Linked DNA regions of Xenopus tropicalis. The protein of the gene in region 1 purifies or fractionates together with the protein of each later gene. This does not show direct contact. Links are inferred from orthologs where the notes say so. Each region holds a gene or a part of one and is shown in the gene's direction. Other genes may lie near its edges.

What was found.
Region 2: the proteins of irf2bpl (region 1) and vgll4 purify together in Homo sapiens (affinity purification with mass spectrometry; 3 studies listed by BioGRID and IntAct, counting the BioPlex papers as one, with this or other methods). This does not show direct contact. The link is inferred for Xenopus tropicalis from reciprocal best matches to the Homo sapiens genes IRF2BPL and VGLL4.

The regions. Positions count from the first base shown.
Region 1 is NC_030684.2:82,572,828-82,576,856, forward strand, and holds the start of irf2bpl (interferon regulatory factor 2-binding protein-like), read left to right. Parts: upstream 1-1,229; 5' UTR 1,230-1,434; coding exon 1,435-3,507; 3' UTR 3,508-4,029. UniProt on the Homo sapiens protein: Probable E3 ubiquitin protein ligase involved in the proteasome-mediated ubiquitin-dependent degradation of target proteins. Through the degradation of CTNNB1, functions downstream of FOXF2 to negatively regulate the Wnt signaling pathway.
Region 2 is NC_030680.2:151,253,275-151,257,297, forward strand, and holds the start of vgll4 (transcription cofactor vestigial-like protein 4), read left to right. Parts: upstream 1-1,223; 5' UTR 1,224-1,434; coding exon 1,435-1,516; intron 1,517-4,023. UniProt on the Homo sapiens protein: May act as a specific coactivator for the mammalian TEFs.

The DNA.
Region 1 (4,029 bases):
CCGGAAGTTGCCCAAAGTTTTCGCTTAAGGCAACTTCAGGCGGCTTCCGGAAATTGCAGCGACGCGTATGCCATCCCACCGGCGATTTACATTCTAGCCGGTGGGATAGCATTGCGGGGAGATTAGTTGCCCGCGACAAAGAAGCTGGGCGACTAATCTTCCCGTGTGCCACTGCCCTAAAAGGCAATGTTTAGTTGTGAAATACTCTGGGAAGTAAATTCACTAAATTATTAATTTACCACCAACTACACTGTAATTTGTAATATCGGCCCCAGCTCTAGGTGGTGAAATACCTGCCTAGGTGCAAATCACATTAAGTAGGTGCAGGGGGGGGGGGAATTCCCACAGCAAAAAGCAATTTAAATTGACACATCTGCAATGATGCATTAAAATAACAAAAGGTTCCCTTTATTAATTATTATAAAATTATACTGTTAAAACCATAAGGTAAAAACAGCAGATTACAAGACATCAAAAAAGCAGCATAAAATATTCATCACACAGCAACCAAAAAGACTCTCAAAAGCTTCTGTTTAATTATTTCAGCTTTAAAGGAACAGCCCAAAATAAACGACTGTTTTAAAGTAATTCTTTAGAAACACTTTCATTCTCCGGTGGTCCTGTTCCTTTAAGCTGCCTACTATATTAGCTACTGTTTGGCCCACACGCTTTACAAAATATATATGACTAGACAACGTTATCGCGTCTATAACCCACCTCACCCCTCTCAAACCAAAAACACATACAATACACAGCCTTTATTTATGTGCAGCCACAAAGCAACGATCCTAAAGAATTGTCCATGTAAGCGCTTTTACTAGCACGCGTTCCATTTCAAAGGAGTGTGCCGGCAACTATTAGTCTCACACGTCACCGTTTGCACTGTTTTGTATTTCACTGCGTGTCACCATTTTGTTCAACCTCAGAACAGAATTTTCACACAGCAGCCCGCTGCTAAGCGAGTCACGTGATAGGAACACCACGTGTGCAGAGCGCAGAAGAGCAGAGAGGGCGGGGAAGTTGTGCGGACAGGCCCGGGACTCAACAACATGTTTGTCAGTGGGGGCGGGGGAGTGACGTCAAAGCCAGGTGGCATTCTTGGACTTCGTCATTACGGTGCAGTTTAGAGACGCGCACGCACTCGCGGAATCCCAATCCTGCGTGACAGAGTGTGCGCGTTCGTGTGAGTGCGCGTTCCGGGCGGGCTGCGGCTTGCGGATAGAGCGACAGTCGGAGAGAGCACGCCCGGAGAGGAGAACGGCGGAAAGACAGGCGAAGAGCCCGGAGAAGCGTGCTAACCGGCTTTCTGTGCACCCAGCGTCTCCTAAATAGCATCCGGATCGAGCAGAAAGAGCTATCAATACCCTTCACCGCATGCTCCCCCCACGCTGAGTATTCCTTCCCCTCCCCTGTGTTGAGCCTTCGCTCACCAGCATGTCGGCCGCACAGGTCTCCTCCTCACGCCGCCAGTCGTGTTACCTGTGTGACTTGCCACGGATGCCATGGGCTATGATCTGGGACTTCACTGAGCCAGTTTGTCGCGGCTGTGTCAACTATGAGGGGGCAGATCGAATAGAATTTGTCATTGACACTGCTCGGCAACTGAAACGCAGCCACAGTTTCCAGGATGGTCGTTCACCTGGACCCCAGGGCCCCGGCTCAGGAGCAGCCAACAAACAGCACCCAGCTGTGCAGGCAGCCCTCACAGCAAAAGATACTGCCCAGCTAAACCATTTAGATGGGGCTACTAAGGCAGCAGCTGCCTCTGGGCTGGAGAGATACGGATTGGCCACAGATCGAGGTCGCTTCGAGTACACATTAACTGCTCGGCTTCCCAATGGCCTTAATGGGTTCCCCAAGCCAGGGGAGGATGGCCCCCCAGAGCTGAACAGGCAGAGTCCCAACTCACGCGGCCGAACAGGTCATGGGCTAATCCCACAACTGGTGCCAGGGCAGCTGAGTGTGCCTCCTAATCTTCTACCCCAGACCCTTCTTAATGGACCACCATCAGGCACTCCATCAGGAGCTCCTCATGTTCTGGGAAGGGGTCCTGCAAGTTCCAGTGGCCTAAGTGTTCCACCTACAGCCTCTTCATCTGGTGACCCCAAGCGTCCAGGATCTGTATCTAGTACTGACCAGGAGCGAGAGCTCAAGGAAAAGCAGCGAAACAGTGAGGCTCTTTCTGAACTGACAGAGAGCCTACGTAATAGAGCAGAAGAGTGGGCAGGGAAGCCTAAAGCAGTGAGAGATGCATTGCTCACTCTATCTGCCTGTACACCCTTTGATGTTCGCTTCAAAAAGGACCACAACTTGCTGGGGAGAGTCTTTGCATTTGATGCTGCATCAAAGCCAGGCCTGCTGGATTATGAATTGAAACTGTTTGTTGAATATCCCAGTGGCTTACTTAATGTGTTTAGTTCTGCCTCTGGTGTAGCCAAACAAATGTATCAGGACTGCATGAAGGACTTTGGTCGTGGTCTGTCATCTGGTTTTAAATACCTGGAATATGAGAAAAAGCATGGTTCTGGAGACTGGCGTTTGCTTGGGGACTTGCTTCCAGAATCTGTGCGCTTTTTTAAAGAAATGGTAGGGGCCGATATGTTACCCCAACCCTACCTTGACCCTGGGTGTCCCATGCTGCCCAGCGCACTTGTAAATCTGCCACGGGCACTGGCTGCAGCTGCAGCTGCCTCATCATCAGCTGGTGGCAGTGGGCAGGCCAGAAGTGGTGTAAGGAAACGCAAACCCTCCCCAGAACCAGACTCAGCCGATGGACAAATGTGGATAACTGGGCAGCCTGATGGTATAAAACAACTAAGCATGGCAGCTGCAGGAGGCACACCATCTTCTTCATCTGCAGCCTATGGTGTACCTTCTGTTCCTCCCCCACCGCTAGGCCCTGGCCACCCACAGCGCACAACCCCACCTGAGAGTGCACCTCCAAATGGTCCATCTCCTATGGCAGCACTTCAGTCAGTTACAGACACTCTGGGCACTGCCCACTCCCCCAAGGATGGGCAGACAGGTGGTGTACCACCAGTTCACTCCACCACTTCATCAGCCCGCAGAAATAGCAGCAGCCCAGTTTCACCTGCATCGGTAACAGGACAAAGACGTCTTAACTCCCGCAATGGTGCAGGTTCAGCAGACCTGAGTCTTCAAGTGGCACCTGCTGGGGGTGCCCCTCATCCTGGAATGGACCAAGTGCATCCCCAGAATATTCCTGATTCCCCCATGGCTAACAGTGGCCCTCTGTGCTGCACCATTTGTCATGAGCGTCTAGAGGACACACACTTTGTCCAGTGTCCATCTGTGCCCAGCCACAAATTCTGCTTTCCCTGTTCTCGTGACAGCATTAAAGCCCAAGGGGCAACTGGTGAAGTCTACTGTCCCAGTGGGGAGAAGTGCCCCTTAGTGGGTTCTAATGTACCGTGGGCATTCATGCAAGGGGAAATTGCCACCATCCTGGCAGGGGATGTCAAGGTGAAAAAGGAGAGGGACCCTTAGGAACTCCGGTAAATCATGGTCACCTGTTCTGTGCAAGGGGTCCCCTGCCCCTTTTGTGTATATGTTCAGCTCCCCACCAATAACCTGCAAACCAAAGACAGGTTCTAATGGATGGGGATTTGTGAGAGAAAAGAACCAGAATGTTGCTCTGCAAAATGGAATGTAATGAGGCAAATCTTTCCCTTTATCCCTAACACATTCCCAAAATGCCTCCATGTGGAAACATACTAAAGGAACCTACTGGTTTGCAGATGTAACTTTGAGAGCAGGACACCTACAGTGTGCAGTGAATCGGTTACTGGCATTAGGGAATTGTTTGAAGAGACACCATAAAACTCAATGGTTTTTAATCTTTGGCCTCCAAGGGGTAATGCAGTGACATTTGTAATTATCATGGAAATACAGACATGCCTAAGGAATGAGCACTAGAGCACCCAAGAATACTCCAACCACTTAACCAAATGGCAAGAGGCATGTTGGTGGGTGCAAGTTGCTCTCTCGCACAGCCTTATGCAGAATCGA
Region 2 (4,023 bases), on another chromosome or scaffold:
TTAATAGAGAGAGAGAGGAGGAACAGCGGCACATGTAGGGTTAATAGAGAGAGAGAGGAGGAACAGCGGCACATGTAGGGTTAATAGAGAGAGAGAGGAGGAACAGCGGCACATGTAGGGTTAATAGAGAGAGAGAGGAGGAACAGCGGCACATGTAGGGTTAATAGAGAGAGAGAGGAGGAACAGCGGCACATGTAGGGTTAATAGAGAGAGAGAGGAGGAACAGCGGCACATGTAGGGTTAATAGAGAGAGAGAGGAGGAACAGCGGCACATGTAGGGTTAATAGAGAGAGAGAGGAGGAACAGCGGCACGTGTAGGGTTAATCGGTGAGATACCTGGGGGCAATAAGAGGGGTATATAGTGTAGGAGTTGGGGCGGGGGTGCAATTGGGTGGGTTTATAAGGAGTTAAACGTGCAGCCCAGAGAGCAATGCTTGGGGGCGGGGGTTACAGTTCCTGGGTCAGTACCGCCGGTTCCCCTGCCCATTAACCCCTCACTGACAGACTTACATTGCCCCAATGGTGCAGTTTATCTGTGTTTTGGTACGGGGCGGGGCCAACCTGCAGCAGGATCCCCCCGCCCCCTCTCTCTGCGCATGTGCAGAAGGGCCGCCCCAGTGAGCCTGCGCAGTCCCGTCCCGTTCCCCCATTTGGGAGGGAGCCCAGTGAGCTTGCGCAGTCCCGCCCCGTTCCCCCACTTGGGAGAGAGCCCAGTGAGGCTGCGCAGTCCCGCCCCGTTCCCCCACTTGGGAGAGAGCCCAGTGAGGCTGCGCAGTCCCGCCCCGTTCCCCCACTTGGGAGAGAGCCCAGTGAGGCTGCGCAGTCCCGCCCCGTTCCCCCACTTGGGAGAGAGCCCAGTGAGGCTGCGCAGTCCCGCCCCGTTCCCCCACTTGGGAGAGAGCCCAGTGAGGCTGCGCAGTCCCGCCCCGTTCTCCCACTTGGGAGAGAGTCCAGTGAGGCTGCGCAGTCCCGCCCCGTTCCCCCCACTTGGGAGAGAGCCCAGTGAGGCTGCGCAGTCCCGCCCCGTTCCCCCCACTTGGGAGAGAGCCCAGTGAGGCTGCGCAGTCCCGCCCCGTTCCCCCCACTTGGGAGAGAGCCCAGTGAGGCTGCGCAGTCCCGCCCCGTTCCCGCTGGGAGAGAGCCCGGAGCAGCCTGCGTGTCAGTGCCGAGGAACTTGCAGCGGGGCTGTGAGGCGCCTGTTCCCTCTGTCCTTCCCCTTCACTCGCTCTTCAGGAACCGCCCGCAGGCAAACGCCGAGCCGCCCCCGCTTACCCTCCGTACCGCCTCTGGTTTCCCTCCTACCCGCCGAGGGGCTCCGGGCACTCTCCGTGGGCTTGGGTTAGCGGGGCCCTGGAGTTCGGGGGCAGACTCGGCCGCCTCCCTCTCGCTGTGTGGGTGACGCAAGGAAGCGGGTCTTTCCCTGCAGCCCCCCCAATGCTCTTTATGAAGATGGATCTGTTGAACTACCAGTACCTGGATAAGATGAACAATAACATCGGCATTCTGTGCTATGAAGGTAAGTAGCGCCACATCCCCCAGCATGCTCAGCGGGCTCCGGACTTTGTGTGTAGCTGCTGGAGCCGCAAGGTGATTGGCTCCCTGTTGTACCTCACTGTACGGCTAGCTGAGCATGCTGGGAAGTCTGTGCCTTGGGATCAGATTCTGTTATTATTATTATTGTCCGTATAACCCCCCCCCCAAACCCTCAGGCCCCCCCCCCCAAACCCTCAGGCCCCCCCCCAAACCCTCAGGCCCCCCCCCCCCAACCCTCAGGCCCCCCCCCACAAACCCTCACCCCCCCCCCCACCCTGTGTGCCTATATGGGGGCCCCCTGTGTGCCTATATGGGGGCCCCCTGTGTGCCTATATGGGGGGCCCCCCTGTGTGCCTATATGGGGGGCCCCCCTGTGTGCCTATATGGGGGGCCCCCCTGTGTGCCTATATGGGGGGGCCCCCTGTGTGCCTATATGTTGGGGGCCCCTCTGTGCCTATATGGGGGGGGGGGGGCTCTGTGTGCCTATATGTTGGGGGCCCCTCTGTGCCTATATGGGGGGGGGGGCTCTGTGTGCCTATATGTTGGGGGCCCCTCTGTGCCTATATGGGGGGGGCCCTCTGTGTGCCTATATGTTGGGGGGATTCTATATGCCAGGGTGCATTTATTTTTTTCTGCTTTTCCAGGGTGCCTTTGTTTTTTTTGGGGTCTCTTAATGCCAGGGTGCCTTTGATTTTTTTTTGGGGGGGGGCTCTGTATTCTAGGGTGTCAGGGTCTTTGTATACCAGGGAGCAGTTATTTAGGGGTGTCTGTATACCAGGGAGCAGTTATTTAGGGGTGCCCTGTATGCCAGGGAGCAGTTATTTAGGGGTGTCTGTATGCCAGGGAGCAGTTATTTAGGGGTGTCTGTATGCCAGGGAGCAGTTATTTAGGGGTGCCCTGTATGCCAGGGAGCAGTTATTTAGAGGTGTCTGTATGCCAGGGAGCAGTTATTTAGGGGTGTCTGTATACCAGGGAGCAGTTATTTAGGGGTGTCTGTATACCAGGGAGCAGTTATTTAGGGGTGTCTGTATGCCAGGGAGCAGTTATTTAGGGGTGCCCTGTATGCCAGGGAGCAGTTATTTAGGGGTGTCTGTATGCCAGGGAGCAGTTATTTAGGGGTGTCTGTATGCCAGGGAGCAGTTATTTAGGGGTGTCTGTATGCCAGGGAGCATTTATATAGGGGTGTCTGTATGCCAGGGAGCAGTTATTTGGGGGTGTCTGTATGCCAGGGAGCAGTTATTTAGGGGTGTCTGTATGCCAGGGAGCAGATATTTAGGGGTGTCTGTATGCCAGGGAGCAGTTATTTAGGGGTGTCTGTATGCCAGGGAGCAGTTATTTAGGGGTGTCTGTATGCCAGGGAGCATTTAATATAGGGGTGTCTGTATGCCAGGGAGCAGTTATTTAGGGGTGTCTGTATGCCAGGGAGCAGTTATTTAGAGGTGTCTGTATGCCAGGGAGCAGTTATTTAGGGGTGTCTGTATACCAGGGAGCAGTTATTTAGGGGTGTCTGTATACCAGGGAGCAGTTATTTAGGGGTGTCTGTATGCCAGGGAGCAGTTTATTAGGGGTGCCCTGTATGCCAGGGAGCAGTTATTTAGGGGTGTCTGTATGCCAGGGAGCAGTTATTTAGGGGTGTCTGTATGCCAGGGAGCAGTTATTTAGGGGTGTCTGTATGCCAGGGAGCAGTTATTTAGGGGTGTCTGTATGCCAGGGAGCATTTATATAGGGGTGTCTGTATGCCAGGGAGCAGTTATTTGGGGGTGTCTGTATGCCAGGGAGCAGTTATTTAGGGGTGTCTGTATGCCAGGGAGCAGATATTTAGGGGTGTCTGTATGCCAGGGAGCAGTTATTTAGGGGTGTCTGTATGCCAGGGAGCAGTTATTTAGGGGTGTCTGTATGCCAGGGAGCATTTATATAGGGGTGTCTGTATGCCAGGGAGCAGTTATTTAGGGGTGTCTGTATGCCAGGGAGCAGTTATTTGGGGGTGTCTGTATGCCAGGGAGCAGTTATTTGGGGGTGTCTGTATGCCAGGGAGCAGATATTTAGGGGTGTCTGTATGCCAGGGAGCAGTTATTTGGGGGTGTCTGTATGCCAGGGAGCAGATATTTAGGGGTGTCTGTATGCCAGGGAGCAGATATTTAGGGGTGTCTGTATGCCAGGGAGCAGATATTTAGGGGTGTCTGTATGCCAGGGAGCAGATATTTAGGGGTGTCTGTATGCCAGGGAGCAGATATTTAGGGGTGTTGGGATCTTTGTATGCCAGGGAGCAGTTATTTGGGGGGTGGTTGTTAGGGTGCTGTTAGTTTGGGGTGTTACCTCGTGCCGTTTGGCTTGTTTTGGGGGCAGTTGGAAGGGAAGTCGTGTTAGTAAATACGGGCAATAAGTACTATAAATACTCAGTAGTCGCTGCTGTTGCCAAGTGGAATTTTCCAGCTGCTTTCAATGTGGATCTGTTGTGTGAAGTGCTACCCCCCAGCTTTTGTCAACTAC